Astyanax mexicanus: one gene and its partner. The protein of the gene in region 1 interacts with the protein of each later gene in a pairwise test. Links are inferred from orthologs where the notes say so. Each region holds a gene or a part of one and is shown on either strand. Other genes may lie near its edges.

What was found.
Region 2: the proteins of ewsr1a (region 1) and mvk interact in a two-hybrid assay, tested with the Homo sapiens proteins (2 studies listed by BioGRID and IntAct). The two-hybrid records come from large-scale screens. The link is inferred for Astyanax mexicanus from reciprocal best matches to the Homo sapiens genes EWSR1 and MVK.

The regions. Positions count from the first base shown.
Region 1 is NC_064427.1:20,602,807-20,611,967, reverse strand, and holds the start of ewsr1a (EWS RNA-binding protein 1a), read left to right. Parts: upstream 1-5,675; 5' UTR 5,676-5,723; coding exon 5,724-5,739; intron 5,740-7,712; coding exon 7,713-7,749; intron 7,750-7,881; coding exon 7,882-7,933; intron 7,934-8,716; coding exon 8,717-8,855; intron 8,856-9,161. Other genes in the region: atp6v0a2a (V-type proton ATPase 116 kDa subunit a 2), read left to right, coding at 321-531, 1,612-1,737, 2,296-2,406, 2,743-2,860, 3,455-3,626, 3,819-3,921. UniProt on the Homo sapiens protein: Binds to ssRNA containing the consensus sequence 5'-AGGUAA-3'. Might normally function as a transcriptional repressor. EWS-fusion-proteins (EFPS) may play a role in the tumorigenic process.
Region 2 is NC_064429.1:9,746,579-9,755,248, reverse strand, and holds the start of mvk (mevalonate kinase), read left to right. Parts: upstream 1-5,109; 5' UTR 5,110-5,277; intron 5,278-5,423; 5' UTR 5,424-5,438; coding exon 5,439-5,516; intron 5,517-6,003; coding exon 6,004-6,151; intron 6,152-7,111; coding exon 7,112-7,259; intron 7,260-7,736; coding exon 7,737-7,901; intron 7,902-8,670. Other genes in the region: mmab (corrinoid adenosyltransferase), read right to left, coding at 206-303, 1,185-1,257, 1,365-1,597, 2,363-2,427, 2,959-3,062. UniProt on the Homo sapiens protein: Catalyzes the phosphorylation of mevalonate to mevalonate 5-phosphate, a key step in isoprenoid and cholesterol biosynthesis.

The DNA of each region.
Region 1 (9,161 bases):
CTACAGAGTCTGTGGTAGGCGTGACAGTAGTATGCATGTATGGGTATGTGTGTGTATGACATGTGTCTGTGTACCTGTGTATATGTATGTATGTATGTTAAAAAAAATGTATTTATCGTCCAGCACTAAATAGCAGTAATTTGCATCTGTTTAAAATATTATGACTTCACTACAATTGTGAACCCTAGCTATGTGTAACATGTTCTTCTGTGGTGTAAGAAGCTTGTTGGCCACATTGCACTGCTTGTAGCTACAGTGTAAACCCGCTGTAATCTCACAGTTCTTGTGTGTTTGTGCTGTGGTGTGTTTTTTATCTGCAGGCACTTCAGGCAGAAGTTTAAACTGTACCTGCTGTTCCTGCCGGAGCTGCTCTTCCTGCTCTGTCTCTTCGGTTATCTGGTCTTTATGATCTTCTATAAATGGCTGGCCTTTTCTGTCCAGGATTCGAGGACAGCCCCCAGTATCCTCATCCACTTCATCAGCATGTTCCTCATGCAGGGCAATGCCACCACACCACTGTATCCTGGACAGGTGTGTGTGTGTGTGTGTGTGTAGTATGTGTCTGATTGTTTATGTTAGCACAGCTTCATCTGTGTGTATGTGTGTGTGTGCGTTTATATATATGATAATTTGTGGCCTGATACTAATTTTAAAACAGCATTGTGTGAGAATTAGTGATTCTGCATGATTCTGAAGCAGATAGTTTAAGGTACAGCTGATACTGATACTGAGAGACCTATCTTACACCCTGTGTGAGGTGTGAACAGTCTATTTACACACCTACCTTGCACCTGCATTGTTTAAATAGCAATAGACTTAATACGACCTAGACAGACGTCAAAAGTCAGATGTTAGTTGCTATCTTGGTGCTCTGCATGTGAACACCCTGCACAAGCCCAACTTTTTCATCAACAATAAACAGAACACTAAATAAAATAACATTACTGTTCCCGTAAATGAGCTGCTGGCACACCTTTACAGTGTGAACGAGCAGATCAGTTTCCTCTGCTGAGAAGCTTTGAACACGTCCAGGTAGATACGCTGTTAAAATAGCAATCCGCCAGAGTCAGAGCTCACCTGGCTCTTAAAGGGAATAGCAAGACATGACATTCTGATTGGTTTATTTTAAGTTACCTATGATTAATTAAGAGAATTAGTTCATTCCTTTTGCATGTTTTGAGCCACCCAAGGTGTACTTTTCCTGTCATTACGATAGCAAAGACACACTGACATGCCCTAAATCAAGCTGCACTGTTACAGTGATGACTCAACTGTAGATCGCTAAAACATGGTCCTGAAATTTCTACAAACATCTTGAGATGTTTTTCTCTCTCCACTCATCCATCAAGCTCTCAGTAGGGTTTAATGCAGGTAATTGTGCTGTCATTGCATAATGCATTGGTTGCAAATCCAGTTATTTAAGTGCTTGTTTTTATCTAAGTAAGAAACAGACGGCTTGTATCATCCAACACATCTGCTCAACATCATTATGTGAGATCTGAAGATGGTGTAGTGTGGTATGATGCAATATAACTGCAACATGGTGTTTAGTGGTGGAGTGTGCATGTCTATGCTGTGTTTAATAGTGTGTTGTGTGTGTGTGTGTTACAGATGGGTCTGCAGGTGTTTCTGGTGGCCATGGCTCTGCTGTGTGTTCCTGTGCTCCTGCTGGGGAAACCGCTTTACCTCTACTGGCTTCATCACGGCAGCAAAAGCCTGGGAGTCCACAGGGTGTGTGTACGTGCGTGTTGACTACTGTGGGATGCTGCATGTAGAGACTGCATGAGTGTGTTCCAGTTCAGGGACAGGATTCTTTAAAGGATGTGGTGGATGGTGGCGCAGCTTTCGAAGGCTGTGTAGGCCATACAGGTCTACTCTACTCTATATGATTTTATCTGCTGTTTTCCTCGTCCAGTGCTCACTAATTGTGGTAAAAAACAATAATTCTACCCATTGGGTTGTACTGACTCCACCATACAGGCAGTCAGCTGTGTGTATGTGTTTTTTGTGCACCACCAATATAACATATTGTTTACTGCAGAATGAGGTAGGCATGATAAAAGCTTTTGTTTTTTTGTTTTTTTTAAGATAAAAGTGAATAATTCCACATGTTTGCACTACAGCCACAAAACATTTTTTCATTTATTTGTAATATTAAACATATTGATGTAAGATATTAGCTATGTAGGATAAAAGCTAATCTTGACCCATTGTTTTGATCTAATTTGCAAATAGTACCCTTGCTAGCTTTGTTTTTTTGTTTTTTTTCACAGTGTCTTATTTTTTTCTGTACAGGGCTATGAGCGAGTTCGCCGTTTAAGTGAGGACGATCTGTCCCCGTCTATCGTCCACGATGAAGAGGAAGGGCTGGATGATCACCCGGGTCGAGACTGCAGCCCAAAAGAGGTCCGATTCAAACTATCAAACTACAAACACTACCTGAACCTGATACACAGATATCTTTATTAAGAATTACTTAAATTACTATGTGGTTTCTCACACTCGTGTCCAAATATTTGTGGACAGCCCTCTAATGAATGCAGTTAGCTAATTTACAGCTAAGTTGCACCCATTGCAAACATCTAGTAAAACACCTTCTCCTGGACAGTTCAGACAGTTACTTTAACAAAAGCAGGATAAACTCTTTTTTCATTCCCTTAATTTTAAAATAAACCATGAAAAAGCTGGTGTCCCATGTTGTGTATTTGTTATGTGAGTTAATTTGTGTACTTTTGTTTGCAGTTTGATTTTGGGGATGTTTTCCTACATCAGGCCATTCACACTATAGAGTTCTGCCTGGGCTGCATCTCCAACACGGCATCGTACCTTCGCCTGTGGGCCCTCAGCCTGGCTCATGCTCGTTAGTACACACACACACACACACACATACACACTCATTGAGCATATTGAGCTACAAGTTTGCATTCCCTCTGTCTTGTCATAATCACTGTGTGTGAACTGGTCAAAGATGTGATCCGAGAGCTCGTCCACAATATCTAATATCTAGCAGGTTTAATATCTGGACTAGCCAGTGACTCCAGTAGTGTGAAAAGTGCTTTGACTGGACATTAATGCAGCGACTAGCTACAGCCAATGAGAATGCAGAATGAGAGTAATAAAAAAGGCAAGGTTGAGGTTGAGGTTGTCTATTGCCAAGAAAGCAATACGCCAGAAATTTACCTGAACTTTCCTTAATTTCCACACCACCACGCCCATCAGTGTAGATATATTCAAAAGCACTGTTGCTATTTAAACGAGGAAGGTGGAAGGCGTGAAAATAGACTGTTGGTAGGGTGTAAGATAGCAATAAGCACTGCAACGGTATCGCCTATAGACTTCTTATCTGTCTTTCTCTTGTGTATTACTACAATTCACATACTGTATTTGAATGCTTTTGTTATATAAAAATAAAATAAATGTTTTGTTTGTGTGTGCGTGTGCATGTGTATAACAGAGCTGTCGGAGGTGCTGTGGGCGATGGTCCTGCGTGTTGCTCTGAGGATTAACTCCAGGTTGGGGGTGCTGGTTCTCGCCCCTGTTTTCAGTCTCTTCGCCATCCTCACCGTCTCCATCCTGCTGATCATGGAGGGGCTCTCTGCCTTCCTGCACGCCCTGCGCCTACACTGGTCAGCACACACACTCAATATTACACTCACATGCCACAGACACTTCCAGCTAGATGCTGTTAGTCACCATAATTTTTACTCACTAAATTAAAGTGGGTGGGAGTATTAGCCTTCCTATGGTGTATGCTGCAGTTTTAGGGATTTTTTCTCTTATTTACTGTATAATCATTCTTTATTTCTCTCTGTCTCCAGGGTGGAGTTTCAGAACAAGTTCTACAGTGGAACAGGTGTAAAATTCGCCCCCTTCGACTTCTCCCTGCTTCCCTCCGTCTTCGAGCAGGATGGATTACTGTGAGCAGCGAGGAAATTCTGAGACCTGAGCTAATCCACCCTGGCTTACCATGACTTACACTCCTCCTGTTTCCTCACCGCAGCTCTGCAGCACTAACCACAGCAACCGGACGTTTCATCGCCTTTCCTTTTATACCATTTCAACATTCCAGCCCATCCCCCACTTTTTTATTAAAGCAGGATCAATCGAGACTGACTGCCTTAGATAAACACATTCATATCAGCGATATCTGCCACTGACTATCATCACCGGCTCCACCAAACTCAACATCACTCAACATCTGCCATATAACATCTTTAAATAAGTTTGTCAGTGCAGCCCTGCTGTTATATTTATATTTTATTAGAGATACGACCTCGACTTGGGAAACCCTCTTATTTATTCACAGACATTTCCATTTTCATATCGGATTTCAAAAGTGCCATAAGTATTTTTCCAGATACAGTTTTGTATGCTACTCTGAAATGGGAATATTGAATTTATTGAGCCGTCTCTATCCCGTGGATCTGAAGCACGCACACGCACACATTATGAAGTAAAAAAAAATACTTGTGATGTTTCAGGTAAACTTCGCAAGTAAAAGAAAAAAATAGCCATCATTTTCATACTAGATAGAATTTTCATTGAAATTTTCATTGAGTACAGTATTAAAGCATCATTTGCAAAAAGAGAGATTTCTGGTGGCTTGTCGTCTTTCTTATTTGTAGCTTTAAGTTCTGTAAGTTGTGTAAGAGGTGGGCAGAGCCTACATGAGCATCAATGATAAACCTGGGTGCTTATCGGTACATTAGGGACATTTTCAGTACATTAGGTGCTGAACACTTCATTCTGGAACACCAAACAAGACTTGCCTGATGTTCTAGAGATGTTCTGACTCAGACATTAATACAGGTTATTCTACGATAATTGTATATATCATTTGAGAGTGTTCAAAACCAACATATTTATTCAACAAAACTTGATTTAAATAATTTATCTGCTTTTCATTTGGATCTAAACTTCTAAACTGTAGCATGTATGATTGGACGCACCTTTGAATATGTTCTGCATTGTAGTTTAACATTTTCTCAGACAGCTTTATAAAGTATAGTCACCTAGAATGGCTTTAAGTTAACAGCTGTGCTGAACTCATCAAGAATTAATTGCCCTCTTAATGTGTTTGAGAAGAATTGTAGTTGGTATACAGTGATTTTGTTTCAACTATTGGGGTTATGTAAAGTAAGTAAAGCAAAAAATACTTAACTTTTTCAGAAATGAAGGTTAGTCAATCTGAAAAATTTCAAGAACTTTGAAAATATCCTTACGTGCAGTCACAAAAACCATTTAAAAAATATGATGAAACTGGCACTTATCAGGACCAGTACCCAGATAAGAGCCCAGCTAAATGTTTCACTTTTAGGTTCACTACATGACTCCTTATGCTTCGCTTCATAGTCTAGATTAATTCAGTATTCATTTACAATGTATGAAAAATAAATAAATAAAAACATATACAACCTTACTGTATAACAACAACATCAACTCTAAGAACTGGTCCATTTTTTACATAATATACAATATACAGTCCAAACTGTCACAGTCTGAGCTTAAATACTTATCTTAAACCTTGTTCAGAACTCTAAGTATAAATGCTGACACTTAATTTGGGTTATAGTAGAGCGTAGCGCGATTTTAAACCATTTGTAAAACTTTTAAAAATGATTTTATATAAATCGCAGCTGAATGGATGCGCCTTTGGTGCGAAGGTATCGTGCGCATGCGCAGTTCTCGCCTGTGGACTCCGGGTGAAGAAAATAGAACACGAAATGGCGTCCGCTGCAGGTAACGGTTACAATAATGCAAGAAAAACGATTATTTATAATGAAACGTAGACTATTATCATCAGATATTGGTTGAAGAATATATAAGCATATTGTATGTGATGTTTGTATCTGTATAATGTTGTTAAATCGATTATAATTAGGCTTATTTGGCTGGTTTATGAACGTGAGCATTCTACCGTTAGCTGGCTATTCAGCTATTTGAGCTAAGCGTTACCGGTAGATTGAGCTTTTTAACGCTTACATAGACATTGTCGGTCAGTATAGCTTATTTAGCTAGCTGTATTCGTGGGTGTAAAACGTTGTTTAGACATTGTGCAGTAAGCTATTTTATGTTCGCTAGCTTGTAAATTCAGTTAAACGTGATTAGAATGACTGGCTAACCTAGTTAGCTAACTAGCTAGCTCTCTAGCCCATTATTCTAAGGCGGTGGGCGTAACTAGTTAGCTAGCATTTTTGCATTTCTGACTCAAAAAAGAGAATTTAAACGCTTAAAAATCGCATTGAAATATTTTTTAGCTTGTCCTTATTATATAATATCGAAATGATCTGTGGAAAATTAGATAAATAGGTTATCTAGGTTTTTAACTAGTTATTTTTTACCACAAAACATCAGTAGGGTATAGAAGCCCATTCCCGCCGGCTAAAATAAAAAAATAAAATAAAATCCAGCACATTTTTTTGTGATATAAACAGCTTCCTTATTATTTTGAGATACTTGTTCATTATTTTGAGATACTGTTTCGTTATTTTGAGGTACTAGTATAACTTACTGTACAGAGACATAAACAGGTAAGATAAATACTAAAAAGAATGATAGAGCAGTATTACTCAATAATAGTAAGAAAATAAAATATTTTTTGTAAAAAAAAAAACACAGCACAATATCAAGCTATTGCTTCATTTTTATTTATTTTCATTTAAAAAACATTATTTATTTAAAACATTAAATAAATGTTTTTATGAATATTAAGCACCCGCCTTTTAACTGTACACGCAGCTTTTATATTAAACACATTGTCTAATCATAACCTACTTGCAAGTTTGTATTTAAGGTAAAGTTTAAAATGATGAAAATCACTGCCACATAAAAGCGCAAATGTCCATCTACTAAGATTCCCTCTGTAGCTTATATATGTAAAGATGTACAATCAGAATTACCCCCATTTTGAAAATCACATTATAACAGTAATTAATTACTGTAAACCAACAGTAAGGCATTTTGATCATCAGCCTGTTTTGAATTAACTTGCTAGTTTCTTTTTTTATTCGTTTAGTTCTGTCTTGTATATGTTTGGCTAGTAAGGATACAACATTCAGGATTAAAGAACCTTTAACTAAAGTGCCCCTTCTGAACTGAAGAAACAGATTATTTAGTTGGGAGAACTATTTGTTAAAGGAAGGGATTAGCTCATTTGTTGGAGGACTAAACTTCACAGTATTGGAACAAATTAACCTTGGTGTACTGTTTCTGTGATATGTAAAAAATTAGAGTAATGTGTATAACTTGTAGCATTAACTGTATTTAATTTTATTTTAATTATTTATCAAATTGTTTTTTTTATTGATTGACACATTAGGATACAATTGTGTATTCTCTTAAGTAAGGCTGAAATAATGCAGAATCTTTTTGCCTTAGGTGGGCACAATTAATATGAATTTTAACAGTATTTTTTTAATAAGTAGTTTAAATTCTGTCTATAAAATAAGCGCATCATGTCAAAAGTGGCTCTGCTTCTTCAGCTGATGAGGGAGTTCTTCTAGGAACTAGGTAATTATGAATTTCTCATGTGTATTCTCAGGAGTGTTATAACACCTCTGGTGTATGCAATAATTGTTTTGGGATGCACAATAATTAATAATAGCCATAAAAAACAGTCAGAAGGGCTGGTAGGTTTTCGTTTTATTTCTTCTAGGTTGTATGTATGGTATAAACATAATTTTTTACACTGACTGTGTTTTTTATTACCACAGATTATAACAGTTACGGGCAGGCCGGAGGCCAGCAAGGGTAAGAATACTGCTTTTAAGTATAGAAAATATTAATTAATTAATATAAATTAATATTTATATATAATTGTTTCTGAATATATATATATAATGGTTATTTTGCTTGTTAATGTTAGTGTATTTTTTTTTCCAGGTACAGCTCCTATGCTGCCCAGCCCTCTCAGGCCTACGGACAGGGTGCCCAGGTAACACACTCAGATAATTTATTCCTATTTTAAAGGATCAGTCAGTATGGCTACATGAGTCCACTTTCCAAACACCTGATTAAGTTTCCTGCACTAGCCACACAGTGGCAAGTGACAACAAGTCTTACTCTGTAAAGATGTACGTTTCAGTGTCCAAAATGTCTCTGTCTACTACACTATTGGAGGTGTTAAATTACTCAGCTTTGGTTAGCAACCTTACTGAAGCTCAGTGATTACCTGTTCAACAGAAAAATAGCCAGCTCACCCGTTTCCATGGCTGTAGCACACTGTTTGCATGCTGATGTGTTCTATACCTGGTAACCCTGAGTGTGGAAATGGTACTAGGGGAATGGATGCACTACATATTTGAACACAGTTCACAGTTCAAATATTGCAGCTGAATCTTATGCTCTGCTGGGAAGAGGTGTCCGTGCTTAAACTCATGTTTCCTTAATATCTGATGATGCATCCTGATCATGTAATAAAGAACTACAGAAAATTTAATCCGTAATGGGCCTTTAAAGCCTCTGGTTATAAGCAAGTTAGTGTTAAATACTCCTGACATTAAAAACAGTAAAAGAATGTATTTTAAATCTATTTTTTCCCCAAAAAACACACAGAAAATTATGTTATATAAAAAAGTATATAACTGTGTCGGCTGAGTTTTGTATCTTTAAAAAAAAATGTCCTAAATGTTCTATGTTCTTAATATTAATGTGCACTGAGTTTTATCTAGAGTCTTGGGAATGTGAATAAGCTTATGATGCGCTTCTGTTTCTCCAGCAATCATACGGACAGCAGCAGGGCTATGGCTCATACACCCAACCTGCTGATTCAGCCTACCCTCAAACTGGCAGCTCATCTGGGAGTTACGGTCAGCAGGCTTATGGGTCGTCATATGGGCAGCAGCCACCAGCCAGCAGTAAGTCATTCATCATGGATTTAAACTGTTATACAGATTTGACGCTCCAGTGTTAAAAAGCAAGTTTTTAATTAAGTTGATGTCCTGTACTGATCTAAAGTTGTAATTAGTTGTAATGTAGAATCTAATGGTAACATTTAAAAAAATATTTTTCATACTAATGAGTAATTTAGGAATTTGTTAAAGTACATATTCTTTGTGTTAGACTAGATTCTGTACTGGCATTTTGTATATGTATATATTTCAAAAATGAATGAAAACATTTTTTTTCTATTAATAAAAACTAAATAATTATGGATGCACTGA
Region 2 (8,670 bases), on another chromosome or scaffold:
GCTTGATGAAACATCCTGATCATGTTATGAGTTACGACAGTTCTAAACTATATTTACACATCAGTTAGCCCTTTCTTAGTTATATAACAACTATATCTGTGATTTGAAGTTGATTGAACTAAAAAGAACTACGAAGCAGAATGCATAATTTCTCTGACAGTGTAATGATCACCACAGTAAACAGGCACTGGTGGAACAGATTTACCGGCAGTATGAAGTTAGTAAGCGGGGGAAGCTCTGCTGTGTAGGAGTCTATCCAGCTCTCCAGCTCCAACACCGGCTGACTGCTGAACTTAGTCCTTTCTGATTTAAAAAGTACAGACAGCACACACACACACACACACACACACAGAATTAGCTGGATGTTTAATTATAAGGTTCTATTCCACCTTAAATTGAAGGAGAACTCTGGTGTGAAATTGACTTTGGGTGTAGTACTAACTAATAAAGAGTACTAAACGTTGTCAATAGCCCACCTTCGCTCTCCTACAGCTTTCTGAGATCCAGTTATTTTGTGCTTTTGGTCCAGCACTCTGTACAACGGCCGTATCGGGGCATATTTTGCCCAGATAATGACTTTTTACACTGTTATCCATCTTAAAGTAGCTCCACACCTCACTGGTAGAATCCAGAGAGCCCTGACATTTAAAACGAGGCATTAATAACTTAAAACGTGTACGAGAAGCTTATTAAACACCACTGTTTACAACCCATAATGTGAGCTTCAGCTCTGAGCGCCGCCATCACTGTACTGATAATGGCATAGACATCCTGCAGGTTATGTGGAGTCTATGTATACATATCTTATGTTATTATCAGCACAGTGATGGCGGCTCTCAGAGCTGAAGCTAGCATTCTACCAAGGAGGTGTGGAGCTACTTTAGGCCTGGATAACGGTGTAAAAAGTGATTTATTGGGGCAAAATATGCCTCGATGCGGCCATTGTACAGAGTGCTGGACAAAAAGCACAAAATTACTGGATCTCGGAAAGCTTTATCATGTTTTACTACAACAAAAGTCTATTTAACACCAGAGTTCTCCTTTAATGTAACAGCTCCACCATTTAAGGTGGAATGGAAAATTAAAACAGAGATTATCTCAGAGACTAAAAAGCAGGCTGAACTTCTTCTGCTTTCTCCTTCTATCACACTCTAGTTAGCCCAGCTCAAACAGAGGACACGTACTAATGTGGCTGTCTCTGGCTGAAGATCGTGGAGTGGCGATGTTCGAGCCCACGTCCTGCAGAACACACTGGATCTGTATGAAGAAACAGATAAACCACACTCAGACTGTCCTTACAATTATTAAAATACTTCAGATATAATAATAATAATAATAATAATAATAATAATAATGACACACACCTTATCCAGCTGATCTGTGAAGGAATGTCCTTTCTCCAGGCAGAACTCTCTGGCCAGCCTAAAAACAAGAACAGGAAAAACAGTAAGCAAAAAATTATCCAGAACCGACCAACGCTCTGGTCTAGAACTGATCACCCACCCTACAGCTGAAGAGAGCTCATCTGTTGTTCCCAAGGCTTCAAAAATATGGTCCTCCTTGGGCCTCCTCTCTCCTGTGAAAGTGCTGGAAAACCCTACGAAGAAAAAGTACGAATTTTCAGATCTGTAAAATCAAGATTCATTACAAAACTCAATCCTTTACACGCTATTTCTAACGCCAAAACCACAATATGTATATTTATTATTTCAGCTCTGAGAAAAAATTAAGAAAAGAGAGCACTTCAGTTTCTCGGGTTTTGCTATTTATAGGTTTACGTTTGATGAACATTGTTGTTTTATTCTATAAACTATGGATATCATTTCTCCCAAATTCCAAATAAAAATATTGTCATTTAGAGCAAAAAAGATGCAGAGCTTTCAGACCTCAAATAATGCAAAGAAAAAAACTAGTTCATATTCATAAAGTTTTAAGAGTTCAGAAATCAATATTTGGTGGAATTACCCTGGTGGTTTTTAATCACAGTTTTCATGCATCTTGGCATCATGTTCTCCTCCTCCACCAGTCTTACACACTGCTTTTGGATAACTTTATGCTGCTTTACTCCTGGTGCAAAAAATCAAGCAGTTCAGTTTGGTGGTTTGATGGCTTGTGATCATCCATCTTCCTCTTGATTATATTCTAGAGGTTTTTAGTTTGGTAAAATCAAAGAAAATCATTTTTAAGTGCTCTCTTATTATTTTTTTCCAGAGCTGTATGTGGTGGGCCTTTCTGTGATCTGTAGCATGGGAAAGCTAGCTAGTGTAGGGGTCTGTAGCTGCTTAGCTGATGTAACAGTATTACAAGTTAGTGTTCTCCTCCAAGCGTGTTGTGTTCACGTCAGTTTGAGAATTCTCATTACCTTTATCTCCAGTTTTGGTGTATATCTTGGGAACTGGTCCATCTCCATCAGACTTTGTGGCATACCTGTTTCAGAAAGATGGAAAAACACTGATGGTTAGATGGTCAGATTAATAAACAATAAACACCAGTATGCTGTATGGTTAATGAATTGTATTTATATATTCAGAGTGGGGTTTGGTGCGAAGCATAAAAGTTTCATTCCAATTCATCCTCTCAGTCTCAGGCTTCAAACACCTAAATTCAAAGTCTTTAATTGATATTAAAGACTTTGAATAGTTAAACTGTAGGTTACAGGATTTATATATACTGCATAAAAACACTATAACATGCATTAATTCACTTATTTGTATTTTTTATTCTCCATCTCAGTCAGCTATTTAGAGCTTTAAATCATTAACAGACTCACTGTAGCTCCTCAGAACCTCATTTAACCTTCTAACGGGGTAAAAATAAAAATATCAGAGCTCAAAAATCATTAAATCAGGTAACAGAGAACCTCACAACCAGATAAACACAAGCACAGTCCAGATTACAGGCATTAACAGCCTGTATAATCAGTTAATAATCCACAGCCGGCTGGTTATCTGTATTTACCTCCGTCCAGCTCCACACAGCGGCTGTAGGGACCACGCACACGCCGGCCGGAGTACTACTACACCCCGCAGCTGCTGCACACAGCGCCCCGCCGCCGCGGCCATCACCGACCCCTCTATTACACAACGCCTTTCCCCTGTTTACAACGCGTGAAGATTGGTCTGCTTCGCTACCCGTACCCCCGTCTCAGAGTTCATGCGTGCGATCAGAGAGCGTATAGAGAGGAGACTGACCACTTCACAGTGATTCTCCTCTGGCTGGGTTTGACCACCAGAGGGCGCTGCTGAGTTTAAAATGAATGCGTTCCTATGAAGCAAAACTGAGCAAAAAAATAATAATTTCCTCAATTCAGAATAATATTAAAGGTTTTAATAATGTAGACATATTTTCTTAAGATGTTAAACTCACTCAAAATCAAACGTTCTCAGGCTGTGCATTCAGCATAAATTTACCAGGGTTGCCATGTCCGTTAAAAAGCATCTTGCCCAAAGCCTGTCTGAAACATGCCTTAACCCCTTTCAGTTTTTTAATCTGCACCTGTCAAAATTTAATGAATAAAAATCATAACCCCCCACCCAAAAAAAAAATCCTAAACTTAATTTTAAAATACAGAATGCAGAATTTGGGTTTGATTCCTGTTACTGATCTACAATTATTAAGGGAAGTAGAAGATGGACAGGCAGTTACTTCAAGTGTCCTGTAGGAGATTACATAATAAAATAAAATAATAAAATAATTTATTTTACGGCAGAGAAAAAAGGGTTTTGTATTATCTACACATAAATCTGTTAAAACGAGACCCAAAATCTACTGTAAGGTTGTTACAGGTGTTTGAAAAGAACATGATAAAAATAGCAATAAAAGTACTAATAGAACTTCTTTTTAGTCTACTTCACTTGTCTTACAGCCTCTTTTAATCTTGCTTTGTTTTTATTTTTTAAAGTATAATATATACAGTCCAAGTCTAAAGTTTGGACATACGTTCTTATTTACATTTGTTCTTTATAATTTTTATTATTTACTACGTAAGTAATTATTGTTAAAGACTTGCAATTAGGTAGTAAACAGAAAAAGAGTTTGTTTTCAAAAAAAACCCTGATATAAACTTACCTAGCCCAGGATAGACAGACAGACAGAGTAAAGAAAAGTATCTAGAACTCTTAGATAGATAGATAGATAGATAGATAGATAGATAGATAGATAGATAGATAGATAGATAGATAGATAGATAGATAGATAGATAGATAGACACTTTAATTCCCCAAGAACTGTGAACTTTAAGAACTTTACGCACTCATCCTCCTTACCCGCCTTAAGCAATATACCATATTTGCAAAAATGTTATACGGGTTCTATTTATACTGTCATTCCATCTCAATCACCATCAATATTGCACTATTGTCTTTCGTCTTACGTATGCCCTTGTTGTATTGTACATATAGTGCCTCCCATTCTTTTATAATATACATCTTATTTCACAACCCACCACTACTGCACTTTGTTTTCTGTCTCATGTATGTCTATGTGTTCCTGCTGTATTGTACACATGGTGTCTCCCATTCTCTTTTATTATATCTATTATCTGTACCTGCTGTAAAATTTGGGAAGGAAAGTAATGTAATTTCAAATATCTGTATGTCCTGTACATATGCAGTATTGACAATAAAACTACTTGACTTGATAGATAGATAGGCAGATAGAGCCTAGACTATCAGCAATGCTAGAGTGCTAAAGTTTACTGTAAAATAATGAAAGCTACAGGTATTTTTTCTTTTATTTATTATGAAAATACTTTATTATACTGTCTGTAATTAAATGAATGTCCTGATCAAGTAGTTAATTATTTTTTAAAAATTTTTTCTCGAGGTTTTAGCGTTTAGCTCCATTCAAACACATTCATTTTGGTCTTACTCGCGGGCTCCCTCTAGCGGTGTTCAGTAATTTGCTGTTATAACGGAGGCGACAGGGAGTGGGCAGTCTCGCTATAAACCAGCTCTGGTTCCATCACCCGACCCTCAGCAGGAGGCGGAGACGCGCGATCTGATTGGACGATCTGCGGTCAGTGCACTGCGCTCTGTGTTGTGATTGGACGATCTGCGGTCAATGCACTGCGGTCCGCGCTCTGATTGGTCCGTTGGGTCAGTTGTGGTTCTACGTCACAGGCGTGCTGGCTTAGAGAGTTTGCTGAGCGAGATGAGGAGCAGAGTGAAGGATTTTAGTCAGTTTTACTCCGTTTTCTGGGCTAAATTTGTGTTTTTAGGCTTTTAATCTCATTATTTTTGTGTTATTAATTTATATAAAGTTTGTGTGCAGTTTGTGGTAAGTGTCAGTGAGTTATATGCCTGTATTTATCTGTATAACACACATCTCAGCCACACTAATACACGTGTTTACATGCCTGCAGAGTGTTTTTAAATGTGTTTTGATTTATATCAGTAATAAATGTCGCTTTTTTTGGGTTGTAGATATTAATATTGGAGATGCAGGTGAAGCAGTGCTTTGTTTCAGCTCCAGGAAAGTCCATCCTGCATGGAGAGCACGCAGTGGTTCATGGGAAGGTGAGTGAGAGTCTTTAAAGCAGCAGTGCTTACGATTTATCCTTTAAATTGAGTGTATTAATGTTTTTAAATGTGTTAAAATGGCAAAAAATAATATAATATAATAAATAAAAAAAAACGAGACGAGACCACTTCAAAATGATCAGTTTCTCTGATTTGACTATTTATAGGTTTATGTTTAAGTAAAATATTCATTGTTTTTTATTCTAAAATCTACGAACAACATATATTCCAAATTCCAAGTAAAAATATTGTCATTTAGAGCATTTATTTACAGAAAATGAGAAATGTCTCAAATAAAAAAAAGATGCAGAGCTTTCAGACCTCAAATAATGCAAAGAAAACAAGTTCAAATTAATTTAAAAACTACAATATTAATGTTTTAAGAGTTCAGACTGTCACTGTTGTGAATAGTCACATCAGAATCATCATATTAACAAATATAAAGATAAAGATAAAGTTATTGATCTCTGCTGTGTGTAAACAGGTGGCTCTGGCTGTGAGCTTGAATCTGCGGACGTACCTGCGTCTGCTCTCCACCACGTCCGGAGAAGTGACCATCAACCTCCCCAACATCGACACCTTCCTGACGTGGGACGTTACAGAACTGCAGCCCTTACTGTCTGATTTAACAGGTGAGGATGAGCTGCGTTTACCTCAGGCCTGTTTAAAACTAGAGCTGCAACGATTAGTCGATATAATCGACAGTATCGATTATAAAAAAAAAAAAAGTTTATTGTTAACTAATCATTTATATGTAGTACTACATAAAGTACTGAGGACAGAAACACAATGAAAGAAGGGTAATAGGTCGGGCTGCTTTAGTAACATTGTTTTTGAAACCAATATGTCACTTTGAATTTGATTCTGAGACCCAAATGATACTTTTTTTTTTTTTTACAAATGATAGATTTTTCTTAATTGTTTTTTTAATGTGACAAAAAAATAACAAAAAAGGCAATATTTATTTTAACAATACAGAACATATTTATGTAACAGCCGACATGAGTAATCTAGTCCTCATACTGTCGTTATGAGACACTATTCGTGGATCTTGTTGGAATGAATACAATGAGCATTTGTGTGTTTATGGCACTTTATATTATTATTATATAACATTTAATATCAATTATACATATTTTCTCCTAAGCATATTGCTAAATGCAGTTCAGGATTTAAAAGTTAAAAAAAAAAAAAAAAACAGTATTAGATTGTGCTCTCAACGTTTGGCATGTTTGTGTGTTTCATGGAAAGTATAAAAAATAAACACCACATTTTTAAACTTTTTGTCATTGTCAAAATTCATGGTAATGAATTTTGATACCCAACCCTTTTAATGGGCTCACTCACATAGTCTTCAATCAACTAAATATCAGCACTTTCCATGTTTAAAAATCAATGTTCTGGAGATCTGAACAGCATTTAAATCCCATGTTCAGCTGTTTCTATTGTTTAAAAGGGATGGAGAAAGCTAGAAACAGGAACTCAGGGAATAGCAGAAATAATCGATGACTAATCTGAAAATAATTATTAGTCGCAGCCCTATTGAAACCAAGTGTCCCATGATTTACAGTGATTTTGTTTTTCTGCTGTAGTTGACAGCAGCGTTGATAATGATCTGGATCTGAACCTGGTGAAGAAGCTGAGGGAGTTCACGGGCATCGCTGAAGGATCCACCGACACCAGGAGCATGGCAGTGCTAGCTTTCCTCTACATCTACCTCAGTGTGTTCTCAGACGCAGAGTAAGATCTCGCACACTCTTCAGTCTGCATTACTTTCTACAACACTAATTAAAAATAGTCAGGATGCTGTGTAAAATATGAATAAAACAGAATGCATTGATTTAAAAAAAAAAAACATAGACATAGAATTTATTCACAATAGAACACTTAAATAGGGGTGGGAAATTCTAGGTCACCGTGCGATTTGATTTGATTACAGTTTGATTAGTTTTATGTGATTATTGAGCATTTTGATGCATCTTTTTCTTCTATACAGGATTTCCTTTTCCTCGATGCATGAGTACTTGATAGTTTTAAAGTAAAGTATCTGTAATGATCCATAATGAATCCTGATATTTAATAGGCTCTTTTACACAATTTCTATTTACTTTAAAGCAAAATTATTTTAATTAATCAAAAGATTCTTGCAAAATCTAAGATTAAGTTTGTAGAATAATTTGTGTGGTGTGTCTGTGTCTGTGTGGTGTGTGTGGTCAGCGTTTTGCCCAGTCTGAGTGTGTGTGTGTGGTCAGAGCTGCCCACAGGTGCAGGGTTGGGCTCCAGCGCTGCGTTCAGTGTGTGTCTCTCTGCAGCTCTGCTTTCAGCCGGAGAACAAATCTCCACCCCCCTCAGCTCCCAGCAGCAGCAGCAGAACACGGCCAGGTATCACTGCACTACACCGCAGACAATCACTGAAGATTCATACTGGATTAACATCACTTCACAATTATTATTGTTAGATTTTAAAATCTACACACTTTGGATTCATACTGGATTAAAATATCTCCACAATTAACACTGGAGGACCATAAAAACTATAATGCAGATTTATAGCGGAATTAAATCACTAAACATGTGTTAATCACAGACTGTAAAACAACAGACACTGCAAATTCATACATTACATTACATTACATTACATTTTGTCCAAAGCGACTTACAATAGTCAAGTACAATGTAAAATAAGTTTAAAGGTAAAACATCTTTGGATAGGGATAAAAGGAGGTCAAAGGGAAATAATGGGATAGAGGAGTGAAGGAGGGGAAGAAGGAAATGAGGTTAGAAGTAGTTAGTGTGTTAGAGGTGTTAAGAGAGTAAGTGCTCTTTGAAGAGTTGTGTCTTCAGGAGTTTCTTAAAGATAGCGAGAGATTCTCCTGATCTGGTAGTAGAAGGTAGTTAGTTAGAGGTGTTAGGAGAGTAAGTGCTCTTTGAAGAGCTCTGTCTTCAGGAGTTTCTTAAAGATAGCGAGAGATTCTCCTGATCTGGTAGTGGAAGGTAGTTTGTTCCACCATTGGGGAACTCTGTATGAGAACAGTCTGGATTGCTTTGTGTGAGTTTTTGGCAAAGCGAGGCGACGTTCATTTGAGGAGCGCAGCGGCCGGGAGGTAGCGTAAGCCTTCAGGAGTGAGTGCAGGTAGGAAGGAGCCTGTTC